Linked DNA regions of Saccharomyces cerevisiae S288C. The gene in region 1 interacts genetically with each later gene. Each region holds a gene or a part of one and is shown on either strand. Other genes may lie near its edges. The genes, in order: YMR1, INP53, ALY1 and RME1.

Evidence for each region.
Region 2: mutations in YMR1 (region 1) and INP53 together harm fitness more than expected from each alone (negative genetic interaction), as found in Saccharomyces cerevisiae (4 studies listed by BioGRID, with this or other methods).
Region 3: of YMR1 (region 1) and ALY1, changing one suppresses a phenotype caused by changing the other (phenotypic suppression), as found in Saccharomyces cerevisiae (one study listed by BioGRID).
Region 4: of YMR1 (region 1) and RME1, extra expression of one rescues a mutant of the other (dosage rescue), as found in Saccharomyces cerevisiae (one study listed by BioGRID).

What each region holds. Positions count from the first base shown.
Region 1 is NC_001142.9:628,501-636,683, forward strand, and holds YMR1 (phosphatidylinositol-3-phosphatase YMR1), read left to right. Parts: upstream 1-5,114; coding exon 5,115-7,181; downstream 7,182-8,183. Other genes in the region: YJR107C-A (uncharacterized protein), read right to left, coding at 1-193; ABM1 (Abm1p), read left to right, coding at 212-583; carbamoyl-phosphate synthase (glutamine-hydrolyzing) CPA2, read right to left, coding at 1,085-4,441; PXP2 (Pxp2p), read right to left, coding at 7,355-8,183. UniProt on the Saccharomyces cerevisiae protein: Lipid phosphatase which dephosphorylates phosphatidylinositol 3-monophosphate (PI3P). Involved in the control of PI3P-dependent signaling and in the maintenance of endosomal system integrity.
Region 2 is NC_001147.6:519,925-529,101, reverse strand, and holds INP53 (phosphatidylinositol-3-/phosphoinositide 5-phosphatase INP53), read right to left. Parts: upstream 3,825-9,177; coding exon 501-3,824; downstream 1-500. Other genes in the region: transcription factor TFIIIC subunit TFC7, read right to left, coding at 1-161; 2-isopropylmalate synthase LEU9, read right to left, coding at 4,261-6,075; GTPase-activating protein RGS2, read right to left, coding at 6,820-7,749; SNAP receptor VAM3, read right to left, coding at 9,130-9,177. UniProt on the Saccharomyces cerevisiae protein: Dephosphorylates a number of phosphatidylinositols (PIs) like phosphatidylinositol 4,5-bisphosphate (PtdIns(4,5)P2), but also phosphatidylinositol 3-phosphate (PtdIns(3)P), phosphatidylinositol 4-phosphate (PtdIns(4)P), and phosphatidylinositol 3,5-bisphosphate (PtdIns(3,5)P2).
Region 3 is NC_001143.9:475,973-484,844, forward strand, and holds ALY1 (Aly1p), read left to right. Parts: upstream 1-3,261; coding exon 3,262-6,009; downstream 6,010-8,872. Other genes in the region: IRS4 (Irs4p), read right to left, coding at 244-2,091; VPS51 (Vps51p), read left to right, coding at 2,366-2,860; NTR2 (Ntr2p), read right to left, coding at 6,199-7,167; RQT4 (Rqt4p), read left to right, coding at 7,447-8,872.
Region 4 is NC_001139.9:582,490-586,234, reverse strand, and holds RME1 (Rme1p), read left to right. Parts: upstream 1-2,342; coding exon 2,343-3,245; downstream 3,246-3,745. Other genes in the region: TAM41 (putative phosphatidate cytidylyltransferase), read right to left, coding at 183-1,340; YGR045C (uncharacterized protein), read left to right, coding at 1,939-2,301. UniProt on the Saccharomyces cerevisiae protein: Involved in the control of meiosis. Represses the transcription of the IME1 gene thereby inhibiting cells from entering meiosis. But also activates the CLN2 gene thus promoting mitosis.

The DNA.
Region 1 (8,183 bases):
AAACTCTTTTTCCTGCATTGGCCCTCTCTTTGTTACATGAAAGAGGTTTTAGGGTTGGTAATATTTCTGGTTGTAAACTTCTTGAATACACTTGGGTAGCTAACTGCTTATTCCAGTTCTCCTGGCCACTAATCCCGGCTACGCTTTTGTTGAAATAGTATTCTTCTACAGCATCATAGCTATCATCACACATGTCTACTAGTTTCCACGTATGTCTTGGAGGTACTCTATCTTGACCGTAGATGGAAGCTTTAAAATTTTCATCCCTTGGGAAATATTCCTCACGTGGAATTTTTTGAGCGCTGCATGGCTAAATTCTACCGAATCCAATACGTATATCCACTACTCAACATGTTGGGGCACAAGTGATTACACACTTAATATCTCTGTCATAGAAGCTACTACAGAGAAATTGGTTGACACTAGATTATTAACAACACTCGAGAATGCAACCGCTTGGATTAACTCAAACTCTATTGATGAAGACGAAGATGATATGCCTCATGCCACTAACGTAGCAGACCGGCTTGATGGGTTATCCCTTAGCAAGCGCGTATATAGCATCTGTCACTACGAATTTTAGTGCGGATTCTCTCCGTAGCGTAAACGTTCTCTATACATCATCTACCCATGTTGCTCCACCTAGCAGAACATTTCAGAAAGAAAGAAGTCCAAGTAATGGCCAACAACCAGAAGGACAGCTTTTTTTATGAAGGCCCCCTACTGCATATTCATTAAGCTTAAGCTTGATCGGTGAAAAATGCTATAATCTACGTGTACTGGTCACATTGTTGCACATCTCAATTAATCAACGCTCTATTATTATACGGAAGATATAAAGGCATAGTAAATACACTTGCCTGAGGTATTGATTGATGAATTATTTTCCACGGCCCATGCGTTACTCACTTCGAAAATACATTTGAATTTTAGTGATAAGTTTTGCGATCTACTTTTGTTCAAGATAATAATACTGGGGTAGAATATACACTAAGAAGTCTCTTTGAAATTAAAAATATCTCTAAAAAAATCCATTATATAATATACAGTAATACAATTAGAGGCAGGTTTTTCTTTTGCACAATCAATATGCTTTGAAACCAATAAATTCATCCCAGGAACGGACTTCTGGTGGAACTATAACGTCATGAGATTCCAAAATTTTGATCTTTTCTGCAATTTTTGCCTTCAAACACTTTGCAAATAACAAAGCCGTTTGAGGTTCATTGAACAATGGGATAGCAAAATCAATAGCATTCCTTCTCATAATATAGTCAACATCGTCAGTGCTCTCAGCTCTCTTGGAGGCTAAATTGAAAACAGCTTTTATGTCATATTCTTGAAATAGTTCACGCAATTTTCTCTTATCATTCTTTGGAAATTTAATCAAAGAAACCTTTGCGTTCTTTTCTTTGATGTGTTCCTGTAGATACGTTTTAGTGGTCTCATTAGTTGTGTATATTCTGTAACCAATAGTGGCCACTATGGAAGCCACTTGGCCCAAGTATTCTCGAGATGTATCACCTCCAAATAATATACCACTTGGAGGTAGTGGTACATGGAAGTTCATGGTACTTTGAATAGCAGTCCAATAGCTTTCAATTAAATCTCTACCAAATGAAGCAACTTCACCAGTTGATGCCATTTCAACCCCTAAGAAAGGATCTGCACCAGCCAACCTTGTAAAGGAAAATTGAGGAACTTTAGTAGCAACATAGTCGTACTTTTTGTTGAGCATCAAATCAACAGGTTTTGGTACAATGTCACCGCCCAAAAATGCCTTGACAGCAATTTCAATAAAATTAACGCCTAAAACTTTTGAAACGAATGGAAATGATCTAGAAGCTCTAATGTTACATTCAATCACTTTCAATGTATGCTCCCCATCCTTGATGATTTGCATATTGAAGGGGCCAGTGATCTTCCAAGCTTTTGCGACCTTATCAGCAATGTCTTTTAGGGCAATCTTCACATCGTCAGAAAGATGTTGTGGCGGTAAGACTAAAGAAGCATCACCGGAGTGCACACCCGCATTTTCAACATGCTCGGAAATGGCATGTACCAAGACATTACCATTATAAGCAACGGCGTCCACATCAATTTCTTGAGCACCTTCAATAAATTTAGACATGACGACTGGGTGGTCTGGAGAAACGTCAGATGCCAAAGTTAATTTAGCCTTCAGTTCCTCCTCATTATTAACAACACTCATTGCCGCACCGGAAAGAACATATGAGGGACGAATCAACACAGGGTAGTTAACTTTAGAAGCAAATAATTTTGCTTCTTCTACTGATGTTAATTCACTCCATTCAGGTTGGTCAACATCAATAGAATCCAAAATAGATGAGAATTTGTGTCTGTTCTCAGCTCTATCAATATCGTTTGGATTGGTACCCATTATATTACAGCCGTTATCGTAAAGTTTCAAGGCAATGTTTTGAGGTAATTGACCACCGACAGAAATAATGCAACCCTCAGATTGCTCCAACTCATAAATGTCCATCACTCTTTCATACGATAATTCTTCAAAGTATAATCTATCAACTTCATCGAAATCTGTGGAAACTGTTTCTGGGTTATAATTTATCATGATAGTTTTCTTGCCTTGATCTCTTAATGTCTTCGCGGTGTTCACGGCACACCAATCAAATTCTACAGATGAACCAATACGATAGACACCAGAGCCTAAAACCAGCATACCATTTTCGTTGAACTCCACATCGTTCTTTGTAGCATTGTAAGTGGTATACAAATAATTGGTTTGTGCTGGAAATTCTGCGGCCAAAGTATCGATTCTCTTGACAAAAGGGATTATACCTAACGTTTTTCTTAAACTTCTGATTTCCAGTTCGTTAATGTTTGTGGAGGCGTGTTTATTTATAGTAACCGCAATCTGCTTATCTGAAAACCCTAATTTCTTGGCTCTCTGCAAGAGATCTTTACTCAAGTCACTTAAAGATTTAACTGATTCAAGCTCTTTATAGATATTAACAATGTTCATGCACTTGTAAAGAAACCATTTATCAATTTTACTCAATTCATTAACTCTCTCAACAGTATAGTTTTCATGGATTAAGGCCTGACCAATGGCAAGGACTCTTCTATCAGTTGGAGTTCTCAAGGCTTCATCAAGTTGATCGCCGAATTCAGTAGAACCTTGGAATCCCAATAATGATGGATCCACCTGTCTTAATGCTTTTTGAAAGGCTTCTTCATAGTTTCTACCAATAGCCATAACTTCTCCAACTGATTTCATAGAGGAACCAATGGATCTGTCCACGTATTGGAACTTAGAAAGATCCCACTTAGGTATTTTTGCCACAATATAATCCAAAGATGGCTCAAAGTTAGCCACTGTAGTTTTTGTGATTGGGTTTGGCAATTCTGGCAAAGTATAGCCTAGCCCAATTTTGGCGGCAGTGTATGCTAAGGGATAACCAGTGGCCTTAGACGCCAATGCAGAGGAACGAGATAAACGTGCGTTCACTTCAATAACTCTATAGTCTAGCCCATCAGGTTGCAAAGCGTATTGGACATTACATTCACCAATAACACCAAGGTGTCTAATGATTTTAATTGCGGCGGATCTTAACATATGAAACTCTTCATCTGATAGGGTCTGCGAAGGAGCAAAAACCATAGAATCACCAGTATGAACACCAAGTGGGTCGAAATTTTCCATATTACATACTGTAATACAGTTACCAACCCTATCTCTGACCACTTCATATTCAACTTCTTTCCAACCTTTCAAAGATTTTTCAACAAGAATTTGTGGGGCCAACGACAAGGACTGTGCGGCAAGTTCCTTCATTTCACTTGCATTGTTAGCGAAACCTGAGCCTAACCCACCCAAAGCGTATGCAGATCTGACAATAACTGGGTATTTGACCCTTTCAGCAGCCTCCAAAGCTTCATCCACGGTTTCACAAGCAAATGATTCTGCGATGGGAATGTTGATATCCTTTAACGCAGATGCGAAAAGATCCCTATCTTCAGAAGTGATCAAAGTTTTGATAGGAGTACCTAAAACTTTGACGTTGTATTTAGCCAAAACACCAGATTCATCCAGAGCCACCCCACAATTTAGACCTGTTTGACCACCGAAGGTTAAAAGTATAGCATCCGGCCTTTCAAGTTCAATGATATATGTGATGTATTCTGGTGTAACGGGCAAGTAATAAATCTTGTCCGCCAGGGAATGAGAAGTCTGGTTAGTAGCGATATTTGGGTTAACCAATATAGTAAACTTGTTATCTTCCTTCAGAGCTTTGATAGCTTGAGAACCACTGTAATCGAATTCACCAGCTTGACCAATAGAGAGCCCTCCTGATCCAATGACAAGTACAGAATTTACTCCTTCAACTAATTGAGGTTTGTAGTCCTCGGTAGTAAAAGCAGAATTCGTAGGCTCTGTTGATGTATAAATCGATGTCATTCTTTTCTTCCTGTCTATGTACTGTATTGCTCTTCCTTTATAGAACTAATTTTAACTATAGATGTTAGTTTTTCGATGCTTAAACTTAAATAGCGCTTCAAAAAAGAGATAAGGCATACTATAGAAGACGTATTAGTAATTATATATATACAAATAGCATGGCAGAAATGCTTATGACGGAAAAAAAAAGATTGGATTTTCTCGATGCTTACTCAAGGTGACACAATCGTTACGACATGGAGGTTCCTATCTCTGATATTCAAAAGTTATTGCCATCTCATCAATAAGAGTCATTCACAATAATCTATAGAATGCCGCAGGAAAGAAGACAGTGGTGGATGAGTCATTTTCTCAACCCTAGTTTACAATCTGAATGTTTAGGGGATTTACTATTTTTAATTAGGACATTTGAATATTTCTGATAGGGTAAAATCACTTTTTAGGGTTTCTGATTTTCTATTTTCCTCATTTTTCACAATAATAACAATGTTGCCATTCTTTTATCACTACCCTAAATGTACCAAATATTAGTAAGAAAAGAAACATTATAAAGAAAAGGAGGTTTTACAAGGGTCACTTGGTGAGATTAGGTCGTCGTTATTATTTTTATTTTGTGGGCGGGGTGTAATAGTGCTAAAAAGAGGGAAAAGAAATAGTATACCATTCCGCAAAGATGGAGTACATCAAGATTGCCAAAGTATCTAATGTAGTGCTGCATAGAAGAGGTACGGCCACACAAGGTACTTTACATTTGACTACTCACCATTTGATCTTTGAGTCACCACAATTGTCGACGGAATTTTGGTTTCCATATCCTTTGATCTATGGAGTGCATAAAAACCCGGGTAGTACATTACTGTCCAAGTTGACTTCCACTAATCAAATCCAATTGGAGGGAACGGATTCACAGAATTACAAGCTTTACCAGGGTAAGGATCTATGGTCTTTTGTAAATATCAAGGTAATTGGGAAAGATTATGCGGTATTCTCATTGGATTTCGGTGGTGATTTACATCTACAGGCAAGAAAGGTGTATGATTCCATCTTAAATTTGACGGTCCTGTCCAATATCACGCAACTATATGCATTTATTTACATATCCAACAATCTGGAAAGGAAACTACCTTCACCCGATAGCTGGGATATATATGACCCAATTAAGGAATTTCGAAGGCAGGGCCTCGACAGTAAAGATGAAACATGTCCTTGGAGGCTATCCACGGTAAACGAACACTATGAATTTTGTCCAACGTATCCCTCAAAACTTTTTGTACCAAGATCCACGTCAGATATATTATTGAAGCATGCTTCGAAGTTTAGATCACAGAAAAGAATTCCTGTTTTAACTTATCATCACAAGGCAACAGATTGCAACATTCTTAGGTCATCTCAACCATTACCGGGGTTGATCAATCAGAGGTCCATTCAAGATGAAAAATTAGTTTGGGAAAGCTTCAACTCATTTTGTAATAAAGATATTAGAAGAACGAAACATGTAATAGTAGATGCCAGACCCAGAACAAATGCATTAGCACAGATGGCGTTGGGTGGCGGGACAGAAAATATGGATAATTATAATTTTTTTTTAGCTGATAACAATATGGGTGTCGATAAAAGTCTAAAACTGCCCACAGTTACACGGTTATTTCTTGGTATAGATAACATTCATATTGTTTCCAACACAGCTGCATACATGACGGAAGTTATCTGCCAAGGTGGCGATTTGAATTTACCACTGGAACAGAATTTAATTAGGAGTCAAAAATTTTCCAATTGGTTGAAGTTGAACACTCTTATTTTAAAATCCGTTGATATGCTTTTAAAGTCCATCATTTTCAATCATTCCAACGTTTTGGTTCATTGTTCTGACGGTTGGGACAGAACCAGTCAAGTTGTATCACTATTAGAAATTTGTTTGGATCCTTTCTATAGAACTTTTGAAGGTTTTATGATCCTAGTGGAAAAAGATTGGTGCTCTTTTGGTCACCGGTTTTTGGAAAGAAGTGGTCATTTAAACTCTGATATTAGATTTCATGATAACACTATGCATTCCAACTTCAACGATGTGGATACCAATGGCGATGATCTTGACATAGGTGTTAACACTCAAGACGATTATGCTGAAGATGATGAAGGAGGTGAAGATGAGACGAATTTAATTAATTTGAGTAGAATTTCCAAAAAATTTAACGAAAACTTTAAATTGAACAAGAAAAGTCTAAAGTTCGTCTCCCCAGTTTTCCAACAATTTTTAGACTGTGTATACCAACTTTTGACGCAAAACCCAGATCTATTTGAATTCAACGAAAGATTTTTAAGAAGACTAGTTTACCACTTGTATTCATGCCAATATGGAACATTCCTTTCCAATAGCGAGAAGGAGAAATTTCAACAGAATTTGCCAAACAAGACTAAAAGTGTCTGGGACTACTTCAGATCTAGAAGAAAGCAGTTCATAAATCCAAATTTCATACAGAGAAAAAGAAGCGGCATGAATGAGCACGATCAAAACCTTGAAGAGGAAGAAAAAGTGGAGTGGATTTCGCCGGATCTGAAGAAAGTCCAATGGTGGTGGCAGTTATATGGAAGAAAAGATTCAGAAATGAATGATGAATTACGCCATAAACGAGACTCAGTACCCATATCGGTGGATAAAAAGAGTAAAGAGCATAGTAATTCCGATGGCGGTAAGGGTTTAAATTTGTCAATTTTTGGATTTGATATGTTTAATAGAAAGTGATCTGGTTAACGGCAAAGAAGACAAATAAGTGAGTTAGTATTTTGCATACAATGATAGAAGTATAGAAAAGTTCAAGCATTTCTCCGTTGTTAGTATACATATATATATATTAATTTTAATGAATAAGGGTACATATATTATGAGCATAACGAGTGGCCGATCGGCAAAGGGGCTTACAATTTTACAACACCAGATTTCCAACTAACACCACACCACTGAGATATTAGTATAGCCAATCCTCTCACTGCCTCCACAGTTTCCTTATCACAACCAATATTCAAGGCACCTTTCAAATGCCCACGCAATTGAGGATTAACATCTTGTGGAACCAAAGAAGCAATTATCACTAAACTTGTCTCTTGCGCAGATAGTATCTCATCAAAGGCAAACAAAGGGCCATATACATGGACCAGTGTATAATACCATAAGTCTGGGTACGAAGAGTTTAGATTGTTTACCACGCGGGTTGAGACTTTGTTGTATATTGAATTCCAATGCCGTAAGCCGTTCTGTATGGTATGATCTCTTTCCTGGATTGTCTTGTCATGCTTCCTTCTCATAGAGGTTTCCGAAAGGGGAGAACTGTTTCCCATGGCAGCCTCCCACGGGTCTATTGGGTCTAAGTGCGGTACTAAAATGTCCGGAGTAGTTTCCTTTAGCATAGTCAGGCCATTGATCGCTCTTGGAAGGCCGGCCAGAGGTCCTGTTTTAAGAATAACTTCTCTAAATTTTGCTGTCAATTGCTTTTGGAAAAAAGTAGGTTGTTGGTAATTCTCATTGATCAAAGTTTTTCTCATTGGTAATTCTGAGCGCAGTAAGTCAATGGTTTGGGAAGCTAATGTGAATCTATACATGTGTGCATTATCATTACTCAGTAGCATGGCATAGTGGTATAATTTAGGTATTTCCTGTGGCTCATTACAAACACTGAACGTGGCGGCCGCAACAAGGTACCATATATTCTTCAGTTTAGGGTGAAATTGTGATAATTGTATCAGCCTT
Region 2 (9,177 bases), on another chromosome or scaffold:
AAGGACAAAAGGTAATGGGCCAACTCTTTGGCTTGCTGGACTCCGTGTTCTGCTAAAGGAACATCGCTATCAATTCCTGTAAGTGGGTCAGGATATGGACCCTCCGGAAGCCAGTTGGATCTGTATCCATGCCTTGCGATATATATCGTGTTCACCACCATAAAATGTATTGAAAAGGAGTAATATGTTATTGAGGTAGAAAAATGAAGGTAATTAGGGGAAAGCCTACTGAGGATTTATGGATAGTAGAGATTCTCTTCCACCTTGCCCATAAGTATTCACCAATATTTAACGTATATATATTAATGTGTCCTATTTTTCAGCTTTAAACCCGGCGCGCCTTATTAACGCACTCCTTTTCTCTCACTGAATATTTATATAAATATTTATCTAAATAAAATCACATAAAACAACCTGGCCAGGTTAGCCCCCTTGTTTCTCTTCGTTCATTTAAAGGGATACAAACGGAACAACAACCACACTTCAAAGATAACATATTCTCATTTTGGGGTCAATGGCTGCCATGAGTCTAAAGTCATATGGTTTAGTTTGGCCTTTTCCTCTGGCTCAATTGGATTTTCATCACCTAGCAAAGCTTCGGGCTGCCCATTGACGTCTCTTGATGCTGCAAATGCTGTAGGTGTCTGTTGTCTTGCATCTTGGGCTGAACGTGTAGATTCACTCGCGCTATTATATAAATCAACCTTAGAAGACATAGGCGAAGCCAAGTTACTGGTACTTTTTGGAGTTAATATATTTTGACTAAAACCTGGTGGTGGAATTCGTCTATTTTGCGCCAATGGTTTATTTTCCTGTATATTTTTAGTCACAGATGACAACGATGCAGTTGAGGTCTGTGGTGTTGGTGATTTTTCCTTCGATGTTGAAGGAGCAGGTGCTGATACAGATTTATGAGCAGGTGGGGGTGGGGGGCGCAATACCGGTTTCTTTATGGGGGTACGCGACTGGCTACTGTTTTGAGTTCTGACAGGTTGTAGTGAAGCCGATGCTGAAGACACAGGTGACGAAGAAGCAACGCTGGACGCTGTCGGTTGTGCCATTATCGGATCAATATCAAGTAGAGAACTTTCAGAAGAGCTTTTGAATCCATCAGTGCTCTTATTATCCAGATCAAGGCTGAGAAGATCCGATATCAGAGAACCCGGTTCTTCGGGATGCTCTTGTTTGTATTCTGTGAATAAACGTTTCTTGAGAGATAGTCTCTCTTTATCATCAACAAAAGTTATTTTTGCTCTATATGCTGCGTAAACTGGCCGATGGTCGCTAATCATTATCGGAGCATCTGAATAAGATAAAGGAAGTAAGTTTTCCCCTTTATAAATAATTCTATCTGTCCATGACGGCGTCCTTTCCTTTTCAGAAGAATCATAAGTTCCTGTCCCGGGATCATACTTGTATGTTGGACGGAACTTGAGAGTTGGTTCTTTGAAGCCTTCAAATACACTGCCAGAATTAATACCTAGGGTAAGTTGATCAAAATGCAACAGTTTATCGATATATCCTTCTTCTTGGTTGAGCAACTCTCTTCTGACGTCTTCGTTCGGTAGATTTATTCTATAATTCATGTCACCTAACCAGAAAATCGAATCGTGATGAGGAATCATCTTAGTTCTAGTGAAAGTAATACCTCTAACTATGCTCTCGTAATCACTTCGACGTTCTTCGACATTCGTAGCTCCTGCTGCGAGATGAGAATTGACAAAACAAAATGAAGTGGCACCGTACTCAAATCTTATAGACACTGCACCTTTATTCCCAGCCATACCCCTAAAGCCAGTTTTTTTAGTAGCACCCTCCACTTGTTTGACGTATTTAGCTTTGTCTGCTTTAACAAAAAATAAAATTAGTAAAGAAGTCATTTGCTCTACTCTTAACAACAGATATTTATCATCATACTGGTTTAAGCAATCACCCACTAAGTTTTCCCAGAAAGAGCTTTTCGAGTAATCAGCGTTCAAAATCGAACCCGCAGATAGTTCTATAACTTCTTGAAGACCTAAAACAACAATATCGGGTTTAAATTTTTCACCGATTGGAAATAACCACTTTGATAAATCAACTTTTTTGGTTGCGCCATTAACATTGAATGATCCTATTAACAAGTTAATGTTGGAGGTTGATGTGAACTTATCAGACATGCTTTGTAATTTCGTACTTACGTATTCGTTTACGGGATCATAAAGTTGCACTGCTTTCTGATACGGTAACCTTCCCAACAAAGTATCGATATTTTGTTGCTTTTCTTTATCCATGAAATTGTTAATATATATTCTGCTGACCGATTTTGTGGCGTCTGATAATGCCCCAGCAAGTGACATTTTACCTTTTCTTGAAAATGAGGACTTCAAAGCATTAGTACCAGTATATATTTGGGAAATTTGATCACCGTGATCAGCCCACAGGGTGTTATGTTTAGAAACGAAATCATCATCGTCGATGAACGAATTTGAACTAATCAATCGGAAATCTTCGAGAAAAGTTCTAAAAGCAGCCAAAGAAATAATTTGCTGAGCTAAATTTGTTCTATCCAAACAATCTAAACAGTTGGTCCTAAATATGCCATGTTGTTCAGATATGTTCTTTTTTTCTCTAACATCGTAAGAATAATAGCCAGAAGATAAAAGAGAGTCCAATATTAATGGAATGAGTTTTCTGACACCGGAAAAGCCTTCTTGCGAAGTTTCTTTATGAAAATCGAATTCTGTCAAAAATATATCTTTGTTGAAGTTCAATTTTTTTGAATGAGTTAAATGCTCCTTGTATCGTTTTGAAAGTTCAATTTCAGAAGATTTCGTTGATAACAAATTAACGACATGCACAGGTCCGTACTTTTCCACTGATTTCATGATATGTTTGTCAAATACCGGTTGGGTGGCTTCAAATGATCTTGTAATTTGTACTCTTGGATTGATTAAAGAGGTACCTTGCTCCCAGAATACAGGTATACTGCCTCTAATCTGTGTAAAAGCATAACAGTATTGGCTAGAATACATAATGAATTCCGTTTCTACGAAATTGGCAACGTTTGCCTCATCATCCACACCACGTGCATTAAATCTTGTTCCTGCTCTTTTCCAGCTCTGTTTCGAGATGATAGTAAGAGCAACTTTCAACTTCTTAACGTACGAGACGAAAGTTTCCGCAAATCCACGGATAACTGTTGTTAAAAACCCCTCGTCATCCAAGATTTGTTTCAAATTTGTGTCCAAATGATCTCTGTATGTGATCATTTCTTGCATGAGAAAAGAGTTCCACATATATTCTTCTTCGTAGGTATCTGTACTCAAAGAATGCTGACCATATCCACGATGCTGTAAGGTTGAGGTCAAATCAAAATCTGAACTATAATAAAAAGATCCATTGGATAATAGTTTCTTCAATTCATAGCATGGATGTTTTGGCAAGGCGTCTTGATATTCAGTTGAAGCAGTCTCCGGCAACACAGGATAACCTGAGGAGTCGATTTCAATAAAATCCCAACTGTTGTCATTTAAACAAAAAAAATCGACAGCAAAAATTTTGTTCACAGTCTCTCCTGGGCATGGCTGTGCAACTTTTGATTTCCCAGTGATGGCACCAACAAACAGCAGGCCATTAACCTCAATGAGTCCGATAACACCAAAAATTTCGTGTGATGTAAGTCTTTTGAAGCCATATTTTTTCAAATCATTTTTTTGAAGAAGTTCAATGGCACAAAGGGGTTTATCAGATGGCTTTTTCCCAACCGGTTTAAGAACAAGAGCATACAAGTTGGATACAATGGCTAGCCTCCTTTCAGGTTCTTCTGAAACAAAGATAATCATTCTATGAAGGAGTGGATAACTAGATATTCTTCGCCCCAGTTATTTTCTTTCTTCCTCTTAAGGTACTGCTAGCTTTCTTAATATGATATTGGATATTGACTGTTCTCCCTTCACAAAGTCTCAAATTACACTACTCCTAGCTCACTCAACAGTTGCAGTAGTGCTCGAAAAATCCCTATTCGGATTCAGTTAAGATTATGCGGTGGGTGGGCCTGGGTAAAATGTTTCACGAAAGGAAATGGTACCATGGGAAAAAAAGCAAAAAAAAATAATAAAACTATAAACGAAAGAAACTTTCCACACAGACATCGAAGAAGTGTTTGGAAACTTCGCTGAAAGATGTCTTTTTAACGTGAAATAAGTTACTTTTCTGTGCCATTTATAAATAAAAATACATATATATATAACATGAGTAATCATAAGCTACTCCTTTCTATTACTCTGCCAGTAGAACATCCCCGGAATGAATAATATTATTGACAGTAGCAAATACCGCCTTAATAGATGCATCCCCAGTGTCTTCGGAGACACCAACACCCCACATATTACTAGTAGCATGATTATTGATGTCCTTTATGTAGGAAAGATTTATGAAAGATGCCGCTTGGGTTGCAGAACCAGAACCCAAGGAATGTTCAGAGTAGTTTTGAACGCTCAACTTAACATTCAGTAAATTGGATAGCGCATCCACCAAAGAAGAGATAGGACCATTTCCGTAGCCTTCGATGTTGACAACCTTATCGTTGATTTCTACCTGGCCCACTAAAGCTCTACGCTCTGGGTTCAATTTCTTAACTTCGTAATTCAACAAGGTGACGTATATATGTTCATTGTTGTTGTAGTTGTAAGTTTCTTTGAACAATTTTGTAATCTCTTCGGATTTTAACTCTCTTCCTAAGGCATCTGCATTTTTCTGTAGAGTATTGGAGAAATCAACTTGCATTGGTCTTGGTACATCTAATCCTAGAGATCTCATAATAACCCAAGCAGCACCACCCTTACCGGATTGAGAGTTGACTCTGATGACGGCTTCGTAATCACGTCCAATATCCTTTGGATCCAATGGTAAGTATGGAATTCTCCACCGAGTTTCTCCTTGAGCCTGTTTCTTGTTTTGGATTGCAAATCCCTTCTTAATTGCATCCTGATGAGAACCAGAAAAGGCAGAAACAACCAATTCACCGCCATATGGGGCTCTTGGGGGAATTGGAATCTTGTTACAGCGATGGACAATTTCAGAAATTGAAGTTAAATCTGAGAAATCTAAATTAGGAGAAACACCTTGGGTATACATATTCATGGCAACTGTAACCAAATCAACATTACCTGTACGTTCACCATTACCAAATAGACAACCTTCTACACGATCAGCGCCTGCAAGCATACCTAATTCTGTGGCGGCGACACCGCAACCACGGTCATTGTGACAATGCGTAGAAATACAGACCTTCTCACGCTCAGTAATGTGGGTAGAGAAGTACTCAATTTGATCAGCGTAAACATTTGGAGAGGCAACTTCTACAGTAGCTGGTAAGTTGAAAATGATCGGATTTTCCTCGGTAGGTTCCCAAGCCTTTTTAACAGCTTCACAAATTTCTACAGCAAATTCACCTGGCGTATCACTGAAACATTCGGGAGAAAACTCATAGGACCAACGAGTAGCTTGCTGGGAAGGGTCATCCTTGGTTAGTTTCCTAACCAGTTTGGTGGCTTCTACAGCTTTAGAAATAGCTTCCTCTCTAGACATATTGAAGACAATTTCTCGGAACATGTCACTTGTGGCCAAGTAAGTATGTATGGTAGCCCTTTTAGCACCAGTCAATGCTTCCACGGTTCTTTTAATCAAGTGTTCTCTAGATTGGACAAGACATTGAATACCAACATCATCTGGAGCGTTTTCTACAGCATACCTGGTGAAGTCGAAATCTGTTTGAGATGCAGAGGGGAAAGACACTTCGATTTCTTTGAAACCGATGTTGATCAACTTGTGGAAATATTCTTTCTTTTGAGCCACAGACATTGGGTCCGGTAAAGATTGATTACCGTCCCTCAAGTCAGTAGACAGCCAACGTGGAGCCTTTTGAATAGTTTTGTCAGGCCAAATCCTCTTGACCATTTTTGGTGGAGCAAACGCCCTATATTTTACCGATGGGTCCCGTAGCATATTTTTATAAGTCAGTTTGACGGGTGGGATAGACCTTCTTAGTTTACTAGCATGCTCAGCTAGCGCTATGAACGAATGTTTTACCATGGCTACGCGGCTAAATGATAATGTGCCGATAGTATTATCCTAAGGAGAAGACCCTTATAAGCCGAAAACAAGGATTGTGATTTCGTGGAGTAAAGTAAGGCATTATTGAAATTTAACAGCTAACTTCCAATCAAGCCAGTAAGAGGCAAAACTATGTTGTAGTTGTGATTCTGGACATCGTTTTTAATTTTTTTTTTTTTTTTTTTTTTTTTTTTCATTTTTTGGCAAGGCCGAAAGAGATGGAAAAATATGAGTCATTCACTACGACCGTTACCGGACCATGATGGCGCGCGGCACCAAAATAGACGAATGAAGTATATAACAAGCGCCATGCAGAAGGAAGAGCTAACATTAATTACTATACAGATAAATGTTTAGTGTTTGAATATGACAACATATAAAAGAAGACTGTGCCCAATGCTCTTATTTTAAATGCCTGTGAAATAATTATATGCAGTGTCATGTACGTAAAATTAAATAAAAACTAAAGTTACAAACAATATGAGCGTGATGAAATGAAGTAAATTGTGTGAAATGAATTAATATGAAACGAGGGAACTAGCCAGAAAAGCGGATTTTCTATCGTTGTTCTACTTAATCAAAGTTCTAATCTTGATTAACTGATATCATGCAAATTTAGCTTTTTAAAGCCGTTTTCAACGCTTTTTTCATTTTTACCGATCGCTTTATTGGGTAATGGCGATGAGGATGAAGATATTTGTGTCTCCACAGATGATGAAGAGGCTATCTTTGTTGATGACTGTTTTGTCCTTTCAAACGGTTTTGAACATTGCTGTTATAATGGCTACAAATGACGCCTGAAGGCTGTTTGAAAGATTTCCGTTTTTTAACAAAGTTAAGTTTTTGCAATAAACCTTTCCCCGAGTTGAGAATTCCTGTATTTTGCGGTTTTTGCAGATTTCTAGTGCTGGTATTCTTGTAGGTCGAGCTGGTAGTGTTGAGTGAGGAAGAGGACTCGCTTGGCCGAGAAGTGCGATCGCTGCATTGCGACTCATTGGTCGTGTTTGCAGACGTTTCTTGAATGATAGTTGACAAACCATTGATATCAGGCTTCTTAAGATACGAATTTCTATCTTCAGAAATATCCTCCACGCCTAATGACGAAAAAGAAGTTGTAGACTCGTTTTTGAGATCTTGTTCCGTAGCAGAGTCATTGTGGGCATATGTGGCGGAGTACTTTTTCTCATTAACAGAACTCACAAATCGGTGATACCCGTCCATTAATAGGCCCATCACATGGCTAATGGCACACAGGACGTCTACGTCGGCAGGTACTTCATTGTTAGCAAAGCACTTCTCAAATATCTCCCTAGTATCCTGTGAAAAGTTGCATTCTTTGGGGGAGTCCACGGCAATGTATTTTATGTACAACGACTTGTTCCAAACTTCCAAGAGCTTCTCCTCGCTAATACTCCTGTTTTGCTTAAGCTGGAGGAACTGATGAGCTTTTTCGAAAAATTCTAAATTTTCCTCACAATGAGCTCTTTTTAGAAATTTGTAAAACTTTTGTATTGTGTAAGGAGAACGCATCCGTTCGTGATGCCCTTTTCGCAGTTGAATCAGCACTGTATTGCTACTTTCAGCATCGCCGTCGCTGCGACTATTCTTTTCTAGCGGTATCAGTATGTCGCATAGACTTGGTACACTCGCCATCTGGCATGTGCTGAATTTTCTTCGTTTTATGTATCAAAGGTGCCTTACCTAAGATGTTTTGATATTTATATAGCCAATGTAATATTTTTTTTTTCTTCTCTTTCCTTGCCTCGTCGCTTGAGTTGTTTGCTTTTAGTGATCACCGTTGACTTTGTAAAAATCCGTTTAGTCAATTTTGGCAACTGGTTCAAGCAATGTGCAACGGAAATGGTATAGATGTGATGTGGTATAATATGTTATTAATTTGATTACTAGCGCCTTAACTATCTTTATTCAGCAAGTTTTTTTTTCATCTCCACAAAGGGACGTTTACAAAGGGTATCCCGAAAGAGATACTACATGACGACGTCATATATACGTATATCTCAAGAAAAGAATTGTTAATGATTATGTTTTTTTTTTCTTCTTTCAATTTCCTTTTTCTGATTGTGCTAAAATGAGCGCCGAGCCGCTTCGATCGGGGTACCTGCGCACTTTTCTAGCGGTTCGGTTCGGCAGTTCTTCCCGAAGCATTTAACGCAACCTTGTTCCTCATTCTCCAGCAGGTCTGTGCTTGGTGCGCGACTTTAGCTGCAACGGCGTGGGTGTGCCGCAGCGGACATTTCTTAGTTAGATGTCATCTCGGCTGGACCGGGACGCCACAGTAAGATTTCAAACTGCTGAAAATTTTCGCCAGCAGAATAGCCGCTACTATCAGGCCGTAGCGACAGGATCGTGCCCGCAATAACGTACACATCGAGGTAATTATGCATGATTTCTTTTTTTGCCGAGAAATTCTGCCATTTTTATTAATCCACGCTCTGTCCTTATCTTAGTGACAGGCAAGGATGTTCTGCAAAAGCGAAAATTGAAATAAGATAAATACTTCCGAGCCAGACACGTTCTTATGTTTATCAGGGCCCACAAGGTTCATTTAGAAGACAACGCATACAATGTTTTGTTTCTTGATAACGGTTGGCGGCCGTTAAGCAACAGTAAGGCAAATGACAGTTAACGGAAAATAACAGGGTTCTTACTTTTTACATACAGTAGCACAATCCTTTTTTTATTGGCAGTCGCTAGTAGAAATTCGTGGGGATTTACGGACTACTGAAAAAAGGTCAGTGTAGATCGTACAAAGTAGAAAAAGGAAAAAGGGCATATCGAGCCCTTGCATTTAAACTACGGAGTACAAAAAACACAGGTTGCGCACATGGGAAGTGCACTATCACTAGACATCAAAGGAAATTTTGAGTCAAAAAGAGCGGCTAAGAAACCCCCCTACCACAAAAGAATAAATGCAAAAAATAACTTATACACTCTTATACACTCTTGTTTTCGTAAATAGATAAGATTGGGTCTACCAGAAAGTCTGTGCTCAATGCGCGTTTAAGGAGATTACTAACTTAATACAGCAAGCAATACCACCATGCACACAACTATTATAAT
Region 3 (8,872 bases), on another chromosome or scaffold:
TGCCTCTTTTTTAGTTGATCGAATTTGCCCCCTTCCTTGGAAAAAAGGAAAGAAAGCAAAAAGCCGGGAATAATAATAACAGAGAAGACTAATAGACATTTTTTTAGTAAGATTGGCCTTATCTCGAACAAGATTTCTGAGATGACAATTCGATTAGCTTAACAGTAACAAGTGGGGGAATTACGCATTATATATATATACTTCTGTATATGTCTACCTACGAAGTGGTGCGAGTCACACTCGTCACGACGAGCTATTGTGGTCTACAAGAACTACACGGTTTTCCTTCTTGATATTCTTGATTTCTTCTTTCATCTGTTTTCTCTTTTGTTTGGCCATCGCCTTTAGCGTACTCACTGGCACAACCGTGGTGGAAGCATATCTATCTACGCTATCCCAAACGCATTGCTCGACAACATTGGGAAGTTTTCTGCCATACAGGCACTGATCGACCAGCCACATACCCACAATAAAAGATTTCCTATCTAAAGTACCATCTTTTCTTGTGTCTACCTTCGTGTAAATTTCTGCCAATAGACTATTGGGCAAGTTAGACCGCTTCCAGATATCACGGACTATGATACCCAATATCAATCCATCTTCGGGTAAAGTATTAATTGCTCCGGAATCACCCGTTATAGAGGGCCACCAGCTCAACAGGTTCAAATGACGGTGTCTGTTGCTTACCCACATGCTTTCGTAACGCTTCCTTTCGTTGTCTGTTACGAAAGTTATATCTGTATGTGATTTCCAGGGTTTATCCTCATTGAATTTCCGATCTCTCGTGCGGTGGATAGGCCTATGATGTGCAGTTTTATTGGCAGAATTCCTGATCTTTCTCTTAATTCTATCTCTTTTGCGTGGCTTGGTCAAGGCGTCCTGGTTCTGATCAGATTCAGAATCAGAATCAGTATCGTCATACACATCATACGTGTCGTTGGACGGATTGTACTTATACCTCAGATTTCCCTCATGTAGAGAGGATGCATGATCATTTTCTGCGTTTGTACTTACAGAGGTTTTACGTAATGTTGTTTTAAATCTCATACTCGGTTGTTGTTCATGTTGTCCCAGTTCTTCGCTGCTTGCATCCATTTCATATTGTGAAGATAAGTGCTTGGGCTTACTACCAAATACTTTCCTTTTGAACTTGTTAACAAGCTTCTTCTTCCTCATATCGGATGAATAGTTCGGAACCAAGTTGGGCAAACCACTTCCCTGGTTGCTCGTTGTAGTAGTAGTGTTTGAGCTTGCAATAGATGGCTCTGATTCACATAACGAGAGTTGATTAATTGTTTGAGATAGACTTGTTTGTGACCTATTAGAAATAACGTCTGAAGTGTCCGGATTGAGACTATGTCTGGAATCGATGCTAATTGATGATAGGTTTTCATTTTCATGAAGCTGACCACTGCCGACAAGTGATGATTGCAAGGGAGGAGACGGCCTGCGTTTGGGCAGAGCTTTGTTGCTGTCTTTATTAGTTGCAGGCTCCATAGAGCTCGAGGATAGCCTTCTACCGCTACTAAAGGAAGTAAGTAAATTCTCTTGAGATCTATTGTCGGGAGTTCTTTGGCCAGGCGTCAGTGATTCATTGGAGCCGTTTCTTGAGCTTGAGCGTGAATGAATGCCCAGCAAGCCATTCAAGTTCGGAGTTTCTAGAACTTTTAGTGTATCCAATGCCGAAGAATGGGAGGAGTTATTGTCAGAACTAAGTTTCGATTGTGAATGCGCTAAAGCAGCTGCCATTTGAGCAGTACTACTAACATTATCTTTACCTGCAGGGCTTGACCTGTGTTTCTTAGACAACTCAACATCATTAGGCGCCGTTGTTTTAATCTTAGGTACCTGTTTTGTTCGTATGCGTGCCTTCTTTTGTTCTTGTTTCCGCCCTGACTTTTGTAGCGATGGCTCTGATAACCTAGTTTGAGGATTCCTGCTCACCGTTACTGGAGGGCATGGACTGCTGACCTCATTGGAATGGTTCTGGAAGATAGCTTGCGCAGCGCGAAGGGAATCTGAAGCTCCTTGTTCAGTCAAAGTTACTGTTGTACCGCCATGATAACGCTGTTTACCAAACGAAAGTCTCATACTCCTCTGCTAATCTTTTCCTATGTCAAAAAAATGAATCTACCCAGGCCTTAAAAGTATGTTCTACCTGTGCAACGAGAGTGTTGTTGTGGCAAGGGTCCATTACACAATGGGCCTTTTTGTGATGATTCAACTTCGATATGCTTTATACGAGAAATCATCGAATTTTCGCTGCGTGGAAACAAGAGGCAGTAAGTTGTACGTATAGGTGAGGCTCTGCATAGAAGAGGCGTATTTGCGGTGAGACGGAATCTGACGAGGATATTAAGTACAGATGGCAGAACAAATTAGTCACAAAAAGTCCCTGAGGGTGAGCAGTCTGAACAAAGATAGAAGATTGCTCTTAAGAGAATTCTACAACTTGGAAAATGAACCGAATAAAGGTCGTCAAGAAGCACGTATAGGGGAAAAAGCCAGCGAGGCTCATTCTGGGGAGGAGCAAGTCACAGATGTGAATATAGATACCGAAGCAAACACTGAGAAACCAGTGAAAGATGACGAATTGAGTGCAACTGAAGAGGATCTCAAGGAGGGGTCAGAAGATGCAGAAGAAGAGATAAAGAACCTGCCCTTTAAGAGGCTAGTACAAATTCACAATAAGCTCTTGGGCAAAGAAACCGAGACTAACAATTCTATCAAGAATACCATTTACGAAAACTATTATGACCTAATAAAAGTCAACGACCTTCTCAAAGAAATTACAAACGCCAATGAAGACCAAATTAACAAGTTGAAGCAAACAGTAGAATCTTTAATCAAGGAACTGTAATTTCCAGCGGCATATCGTGGCTTTCACCGAACACTTCCTTCGAGAGAGTGCATTTTACTATGTGAACCAATTTTTCCTCTTTTTCGGTTTGCAAGTTCACCTGAAAAACTGCTTAACACTACTAGCAATTGCCCTATTGTCGTACGAGGACTTTGCCAAATGTATTCCCGGCTGTTTGTAGTATATATACGCAGATATATAATAGCGCCGTCTTTTTACCTCTTTGAGCGAATTGCCAAATATTGACTCTTTTGTCTTATTTCGCTATCCCCATCTTATCAAAAATGGGAACAACTCGTTGAAATAAGAGACAAGCAACAAGAAAGACAACCAACAGAAAGTTCCATTCCGCACAAATACGCTGGAATCCCATAGAATATTGCTTGTTCCTCTATGACTACATGCTCCAATTCAATACAGAAAATGATACTGTAGCTCCAGTGTTTCCCATGGAGCAAGATATAAATGCAGCACCTGATGCCGTCCCACTGGTGCAGACAACAACACTACAAGTCTTTGTAAAGCTTGCCGAACCCATAGTGTTTTTAAAAGGATTTGAAACTAACGGACTGTCTGAAATAGCCCCCAGTATCTTACGAGGATCTCTTATCGTCAGGGTGTTGAAACCGAATAAATTAAAAAGTATATCGATAACCTTCAAAGGAATATCCAGAACAGAGTGGCCGGAAGGTATACCACCGAAGAGAGAAGAATTTTCAGATGTTGAAACTGTTGTCAATCACACATGGCCATTTTATCAGGCGGATGACGGCATGAATTCTTTCACCTTAGAACATCACAGCTCAAATAATTCGTCCAATCGCCCATCTATGAGCGATGAAGATTATCTACTTGAAAAAAGCGGTGCTTCAGTATATATCCCACCAACCGCTGAACCCCCTAAAGATAATAGCAATCTAAGTCTGGATGCCTATGAGCGCAACTCATTGTCATCCGATAATTTGAGTAACAAGCCAGTATCAAGTGATGTTTCCCATGACGACAGTAAACTGTTGGCTATTCAAAAGACACCATTACCATCATCTAGTCGAAGAGGATCGGTACCGGCAAATTTTCACGGTAACTCTTTGTCACCTCATACCTTCATATCTGATTTGTTTACAAAAACATTCAGTAATAGTGGCGCTACTCCAAGTCCTGAGCAAGAGGATAACTATCTTACACCATCCAAAGATTCTAAAGAAGTTTTTATTTTTCGACCGGGCGATTATATTTACACTTTTGAACAGCCAATATCGCAATCTTATCCAGAAAGTATAAAAGCCAATTTTGGTTCCGTGGAGTATAAACTGTCAATAGACATAGAGAGGTTTGGCGCATTCAAATCAACTATACATACTCAATTACCCATCAAAGTCGTAAGGCTTCCTTCTGATGGATCCGTAGAAGAGACTGAAGCTATTGCAATTTCCAAGGACTGGAAAGATCTTCTTCATTATGACGTGGTAATTTTCTCGAAAGAGATCGTTTTGAATGCATTTTTACCCATCGATTTCCATTTCGCTCCTCTAGATAAAGTTACTCTGCATCGTATTAGAATTTATCTAACAGAGTCTATGGAATACACTTGTAATAGTAATGGAAATCACGAGAAGGCTCGTAGATTAGAGCCAACTAAAAAGTTTCTGTTGGCTGAACATAACGGTCCTAAACTGCCTCATATACCAGCTGGTTCGAATCCTTTGAAGGCTAAAAATAGAGGGAACATCCTCTTGGATGAAAAATCCGGCGATCTAGTTAACAAAGATTTTCAGTTCGAGGTGTTTGTCCCAAGCAAGTTTACAAACAGTATACGGTTACACCCTGATACAAATTATGATAAAATCAAAGCCCACCATTGGATAAAAATTTGCCTTCGTCTTTCCAAGAAGTACGGGGACAATAGAAAACATTTCGAAATAAGTATTGATTCTCCAATCCATATTTTAAATCAACTATGCTCACACGCGAATACTTTGCTACCGAGCTACGAGAGTCATTTCCAGTATTGTGATGAAGATGGTAATTTCGCACCAGCAGCAGATCAACAAAATTACGCAAGTCATCATGATTCCAATATTTTCTTCCCAAAAGAAGTTCTTTCGTCTCCCGTTCTTTCACCTAACGTGCAGAAGATGAACATTAGAATACCGTCTGATCTTCCAGTAGTGCGTAATAGAGCTGAAAGCGTAAAGAAAAGCAAGTCAGATAATACCTCCAAGAAGAATGATCAAAGTAGCAATGTCTTCGCATCCAAACAGCTGGTCGCAAACATTTATAAGCCCAATCAGATTCCAAGAGAATTAACTTCTCCTCAGGCGTTACCATTATCGCCCATCACCTCACCAATTCTCAATTACCAACCATTATCAAACTCCCCGCCTCCAGATTTTGATTTTGATCTAGCTAAGCGCGGCGCAGCCGATTCTCATGCTATTCCTGTGGATCCTCCATCATATTTTGATGTATTAAAGGCCGATGGGATTGAATTGCCATACTACGATACAAGTTCATCTAAAATTCCTGAACTAAAACTAAACAAATCTAGAGAGACATTGGCCAGCATTGAGGAGGACTCATTCAATGGTTGGTCTCAAATTGATGACTTATCCGACGAAGATGACAATGATGGCGATATAGCATCTGGTTTCAACTTCAAGCTGTCAACCAGTGCTCCGAGTGAGAACGTTAATTCACACACTCCTATTTTGCAGTCTTTAAACATGAGTCTTGATGGGAGAAAAAAAAATCGTGCCAGTCTACACGCAACATCAGTGTTACCTAGTACAATAAGACAGAACAATCAGCATTTCAATGACATAAACCAGATGCTAGGCAGTAGTGACGAAGATGCCTTTCCCAAAAGCCAATCATTAAATTTCAATAAGAAACTACCAATACTTAAAATTAATGATAACGTCATACAATCAAACAGCAATAGTAATAACAGAGTTGATAATCCAGAAGATACAGTGGATTCTTCAGTCGATATTACAGCATTTTATGATCCAAGAATGTCATCAGATTCCAAATTTGATTGGGAGGTAAGCAAGAACCATGTTGACCCAGCAGCCTACTCGGTTAACGTTGCTAGTGAAAACCGTGTACTGGACGACTTTAAGAAAGCATTTCGCGAAAAGAGAAAATAAGTACATTATTTTCATTCTCCGACAGAATTGCTACCATTTTACTTTGTGTCCTGTGATTCAATAGTGTACAATATATTGGACATTTTATAGTATACAAATATACACCATCAATCTATACATCCATATCACTTGTCGTAAAGATATCCCTTTTTAATAGTACAGCGATTAAAAAAATAACATGATTAACGTTCAGTTACCAATGAGCTTATTTATTAGGCTTGCTTTAGATTTTTCCAAGTCAATTTTTGTTTTTTCTAACGCTTGCAACCTCATCTCAACCTTCTTCCTTTGCAAGCAGATCTTCGAAACCATCTCGTTTATTCTCTCAATGCTGTTCCCACTTTCATCATCGTCTGGGAAAAGTACCGGTAAGGGCGTGATGATTTTCTCATTCGATTTGTTTATATTTCCTTTGCTTAAAAGCTGGGTTTCCCATTCTTCATTAGTTCTGTAGGGCACTTCATTTATGGCCTTCTCTATAATCTTTCTTTTAGAATCCTTTTGAATAGCAATTTGATTATCCGTGAGGGCTAGCATTTCGTCTTGAAAGCCTTGCATTTCATCGTCACTGAAGTTCGTAATCTCCTTTTCATTGTTACGTTTCAGACCACCATTTAATCTTATTGTCTCCATAATTTCGCGTTTATCCTCACTGTCCAACAATTTTACATAATCTCTTTCTGTTGTAACATCACTCTCACTAATTTTCCTTCTAGATAATGACTTCTGTGCTTTCAGTTTTGCAATTTCTCCTCGGGTTGGTATACTACTAATGTGCTCACCTTCGGAGCTACTGCCAGCCTCTGAAGAATCACTTAATAGATGATGATTCCCCTCCATCAAGTCCTCCATATTGAGAATTAGCAAATCATCTTTGTTTCGCGTCGATGCATTGGTATTTTTCTTTGAATGGTAAAGATCTTCATAATGCGAATTATCCTCCTTTATTGCTTGTTCGCCATCAAAGGTAATGTCGCGCTTAGGAACTTTTTTAAACTTTATTGGTTGTAATACACAAATGTCGTTGTCATCATCTTCAGAATCGTTCGACACTAGGGGCTTAATTTGCTGCATTGGCTTATGCGCAGAACCATCAATTCCAACCTCCTCAGGAGAACCACTTGGTAACCTAATTTTATTTCTTTTCTTGATCGCCATAATGTGTTCAAATGCTATAACATTGCTAGGCAGAACTTGACGTAACTCGACCAGTTATATTGCTTCTTCAAAGCACAAATTTATGATGATTGCTTTCAGTTATGAGGTTCATTTCGATATTCTTTATGATCTTCGCTTGCCGGGTATCGGACAAATATTGAAATATTATACAGCAAGAAAGAGGCATAAAGAGCCTGGCAGCAGCAAATAATGGCAAAGTGAACGTAGTCCGAGAAACAGTGGCTTAATTATTTAACCTTGGGTTTGCAGTAATTAATAATGACAAGAAAGCAGGCTATTGACTATGCAATCAAACAAGTTCCGCAAATATTGCCTTTGGAAGAGTCTGATGTAAAAGCGCTGTGCGAACAAGTACTGAGTACATCATCTGATGATCCAGAACAAATTGCTTCAAAATTTTTGGAGTTCCTAGGTCATGAAGATCTATCGTTTGAATTTGTAATGAAGTTCAATGAATTATTGAATCAGAATGATAAAAAAGAGGAAAAAAAAACGAAAAATGTGCATCTTGAACATACTGCCCCCACTTCATGGAAAAATGAATCAAAACAGCCCACTAATAACTATATCAATAAGAAGGGAGATGAAAAACCAAAAAAATTAAAGGATGAGAAGAAAAGCTCGACAACGAGGCCTACCGTTCAACCATCAAATCAATCTACGCAATCAAACCCCATAAAGGAGAAAAAAGAGCACAGATCAAAGGGGAAATTACAATCGTTACAAGAAATAGACGAAGCAATCAAGATGCTAGAGCTTCGAGATAGCGGTTCTTCTAAAAATTGTAATTGTCAAGGTACAAGGCATCCAGTTTTCGACATCGCGCCAAACTGTCTTCACTGTGGTAAAGTGGTTTGTGTTATAGAGGGATTGAATAAAGGTAAATGCGGTCATTGCCATGAACAGTTGATTTCTGATAACGAAAGAACCCAAATGGTAGAAATTTTAAATCAGGAAAAAAACGAACTAAACGGTTCATCATCGTCCTTATCCAATGCGTCAAATGGAGCTAATGTCCCAAAGAAGAAGACTAAAACCTACAAAATAACTTCCGGTATGGGTAAAAATTTATTTGCTGAACAGGACAAATTATTTGATTTCATCGAAAGGAAAAGAGAAAGAGAAAGAAAGCGTAATGAAGTGTTGAAATTGCAGGAGGAAAAAGAAGAGAGCGAAGCAAAGGAAAGACAAGCGAGCGAGCATGACCATAAAGCTGAGGAAAACCCGGAGTTGTTAGCAGCACAAGAACGATTAGATAGACTTTTATATTTCCAAGACACTTCGGCAGAAAGAACAAAAATTATTGATAATGCCAGCGATTTTGACATGAATCAGGAGGTGGGTTTATGGGGCAGCGCAAGAGAAAGAGCTCTTGCGTTGAAGAAGCAACAACGTAATTTGAGAAAGTGGGAAAAAGTAGAAAAGGAACGGAATGGCAGGCGCGAGAAGTACGTTGTTAGCATGAATATAGGTTCAAACGGTAAAGTTACTATGACAGAAGTCCCTAAGGATACAGAGAACGTAATTGCAGGTTCAGATGATGACATCAGTGATATAAGTGACGAAGAAGATATCAGCGACCTTAAACATATACACGCTCTGAAAAGTGAAATAAATACAACGAAATCCTTGGAGAATTTGCATTTACAGTCCAAAGCATGGGATTACGAACGTGATAAAAAAC
Region 4 (3,745 bases), on another chromosome or scaffold:
TAAGTCAGTTTGAATGCCAATATGGGATAATGTATATTATCTAGAAGAAGGTAAAAATAAAGATGAATAAATATTGACCGACGCCAGAGATTTGGAATGTGAATAGAGCGATTCTTCGAAAGAGATGAAAGGACGATAAAACATTTTTGATAAAAGATAATGTGTAGATAACATTGGATACACTAGCTTCTCCTCATCGATTTTAGTTTTTTGGCCCAAGCATACTTAATTGACTTTGTGATTCCAGCTGTGAAAACACCTTTAATAGTTTGTAATGCACTTGATTTACTAATACGGCTGAGCAAAAGTCTCTGAGTATTCTTTAATGTGAACCCTTTTGGAAGATAAAATGAATCATTTAGGACCACTTCTTTGTAAATCGGCTTGTAATACTCTTGAAATCTTTCAAAGTTTTTGGTAACAATGTTGTTAACTTTGTCGGGATTTTCTCCACCCAGTTTGTATCTAATATCACCTGCATAACTTAAGGCAGTGATCTCCTTGTAAAATTGGAATTCGTCAAACTTATTGTTATTTTTCTCTAAGGTGTAATGTTTGGCCAAAGTAGCTGCAGCTTTTAAGTTTAATTGGTTCCAATATTGCACTCTCAAATCATTCTTCAATATTTTTACAGGCTTTTGTAGTCGTCCTGCTAAATAGAATGTATTCCAAGTAGCTATGTCCTTTAAAAGTGTTTCCATAGAAACCACCCCATATTTTACGTCGTGTCCATTTATATTTGCAAATGGATTAAAATATACGCCTGCGCCGATCTGTTGAAATTTAGACACGAACTCGGAACCGAAGTATTTCAAACTTGAATAATGTTGCGGATTCTGCCTCATATTAATAGAGTGAAAATGTGATGGATATGTGACGCCCAAGATTATATCGATTTGAGGTTTGCTATGACTTTTGGAATATCCCGCTTGTTCGAAAACTCCTGAGCCGTAACCAAATACAAACCGGCACGGAGCTTTGAAGGATGACATTACCCCATCCAGTTCCTTTTGAAGTTCCTTATCGATAGTAATGAGCTGGTTACTTCCATAGTTGGGGGGCAATCTGTGAAACTTGTACATATAATTTGTAAAATTGGAAGTCATTTCGTCAGTTTTTCTTATACCTTTTTCCAAGAGGTCCAGATCACTGCCTTTAGTAATTCCCTCGATGTAGTGATTCGGCCTTTCGTTAATAGTTCCATCGGGGATAATGCCAGCATCATCTATGGAACTTCTCCCCTCCTTTATTTGAGTACTCAGAAGCCTATTAAACATGCTTACGTTCGTTGAATGGCATTTCAGCAGAAACCGTAGACCATTTTCAGAAACTCGTAACATAACTTCAGGATATATCAAAGTAAAAAGCAGCTCCTATTAATTCAAATTATTAGCTCAATCCTATAGCAACGTTTCTCAAGTTTAATTGTTTTGAAGGTTTTAGAACCTTTTTCACATTATTTAGTCCGTCGAAACATCTACTCTTTACTATTTATGGCTAAACAGGCTGAAGGGTATGATTTCTTTTCTTTTCTTTATTCATGTCGGGTAAGAGAAGGTCACTTGACCTATGATGTGGGGGCAAATAATAACGTGGGAATAACAAGCGCGCTACTGGTAAGTGAAAAACTAAGATAACAGTTGAATTTCGTGTTTAGATGCTATAGAGAGTCTGGTACAGCATTGGCGATTTAAGACTTCTCTAGTCCACATTTCTTAAATTCAAAATCACAAGCGCCTGTTAACGATCATTTTATAATCTACGATGTGTAAATGCAAAAAGTGCTTTCCTCCCTCTTTAGTTTGGACAGGGATAGTGGGTAAACGAGTAGCATTATGAGTGCATACATTGCCAGAAAGAAACCGCAAAGCGGCATATCTTTTTTCTTCTTTCTGTTGTAAGGGATGCTTCGTCACGTAAAATGGCCGCCGGAGTGAGATGTCACAGATTACATCAAAAGGTCGGCGTATACTGGATAAGAAAATCCGAACTTTTCCGGTGGGCTTTACCAGCAGAAAAGTGGCCGGGCATGTATTAAATATATCACCGTATTTTCTGCTGGCTTTTTCTTATGCAGAGAACAAAGGCCAGAGTGCCTTCGAGGAAATTAAAGGGAGCAATGTGATAGATATGTCCTGTGTCATTTGCTTCAATTTTTCCTGCCATTTATTTGTAGTTATATTTATATCTAGATCAACCGAAACTATACCAACGACGAAGCTGCTTCTTAGTAAATATATTTTCTACTGTGTCAACGCATTGGAACTGACATTGTTCTTATCCTATAAGTCATACAGTTGAATTTGTTAATTCTTTACTAGAAGTTGGGATTTTCAGCACTTATGTCACCGTGTTATGGACAAAACAGTGCCATCGCCAAGGGGTCTTGGAACAGAGAGGTTTTACAAGAGGTGCAACCGATTTATCATTGGCACGATTTCGGGCAAAACATGAAAGAATATTCGGCATCACCCTTAGAGGGGGATTCCAGCCTGCCTTCCAGCCTGCCTTCCAGCACTGAGGACTGTTTACTACTATCATTAGAAAACACAATCACAGTTATAGCCGGAAATCAGAGACAGGCTTATGACTCTACGTCGTCTACTGAGGAAGGTACAGCACCTCAATTACGGCCGGATGAAATAGCGGACAGTACACACTGTATCACGTCATTAGTTGATCCGGAGTTCAGAGATCTTATTAATTATGGACGTCAAAAAGGAGCAAATCCTGTATTTATTGAGAGCAATACAACAGAACAATCCCATTCACAGTGTATTCTAGGCTATCCCCAAAAATCGCACGTGGCACAGCTATATCACGACCCCAAAGTACTCAGCACAATTTCCGAAGGGCAAACAAAAAGAGGAAGTTACCACTGTTCTCATTGTTCTGAAAAGTTCGCAACGTTAGTTGAGTTTGCCGCGCACTTAGACGAATTCAACCTTGAAAGACCGTGTAAGTGTCCCATAGAGCAATGTCCCTGGAAAATATTGGGTTTCCAACAAGCAACTGGTCTGAGAAGACATTGTGCTTCCCAACATATAGGAGAGCTTGATATAGAGATGGAGAAATCATTAAATCTAAAAGTAGAAAAATATCCAGGACTGAATTGCCCATTTCCTATCTGTCAGAAAACGTTTAGGCGCAAAGACGCCTATAAGAGACATGTGGCCATGGTGCATAACAACGCTGATTCAAGATTTAACAAGCGTTTGAAGAAAATTTTGAACAATACCAAATAGTTGAGGCATTAAAAATGTACCCCATGAAACTCTTGTTAAATTTGTGCAGGCATGAAAGCTACTGTATTTTTTCTTAAAGTAATAAAAATAAAACACAATGATATTAAAGAAAACGCATGCAACTATGGACACTTGCTATGTCGTGAATATGGCACCACGTTGGTTACTTAGCTAAATAAAAAATCGTAAGTACTCGCATTTTTTCTTCTATATTCACTTTGCTTCTTTGGACAGTTATTTCAATAATAAATATTTCTTTTTTTCTAATCTCCCTTATCACCTAAGAGGAAAAAGTTTGAAAATAAACTTATGGCTAGAGGTTATTTGGTATTCCGAGAAAACATTTGAAACTAGGAAGTTTACATATCAGTGCAATTATGTTTCCTTCGATGATTCACGTACCCTCAAAGTCAGTACCATAAAATTGAAAATAAGACAGGTGTTTTTTTTTTTTTTTTTAATCATACAAGAATTCAACCACTTAAGTAGGATATTAGCGC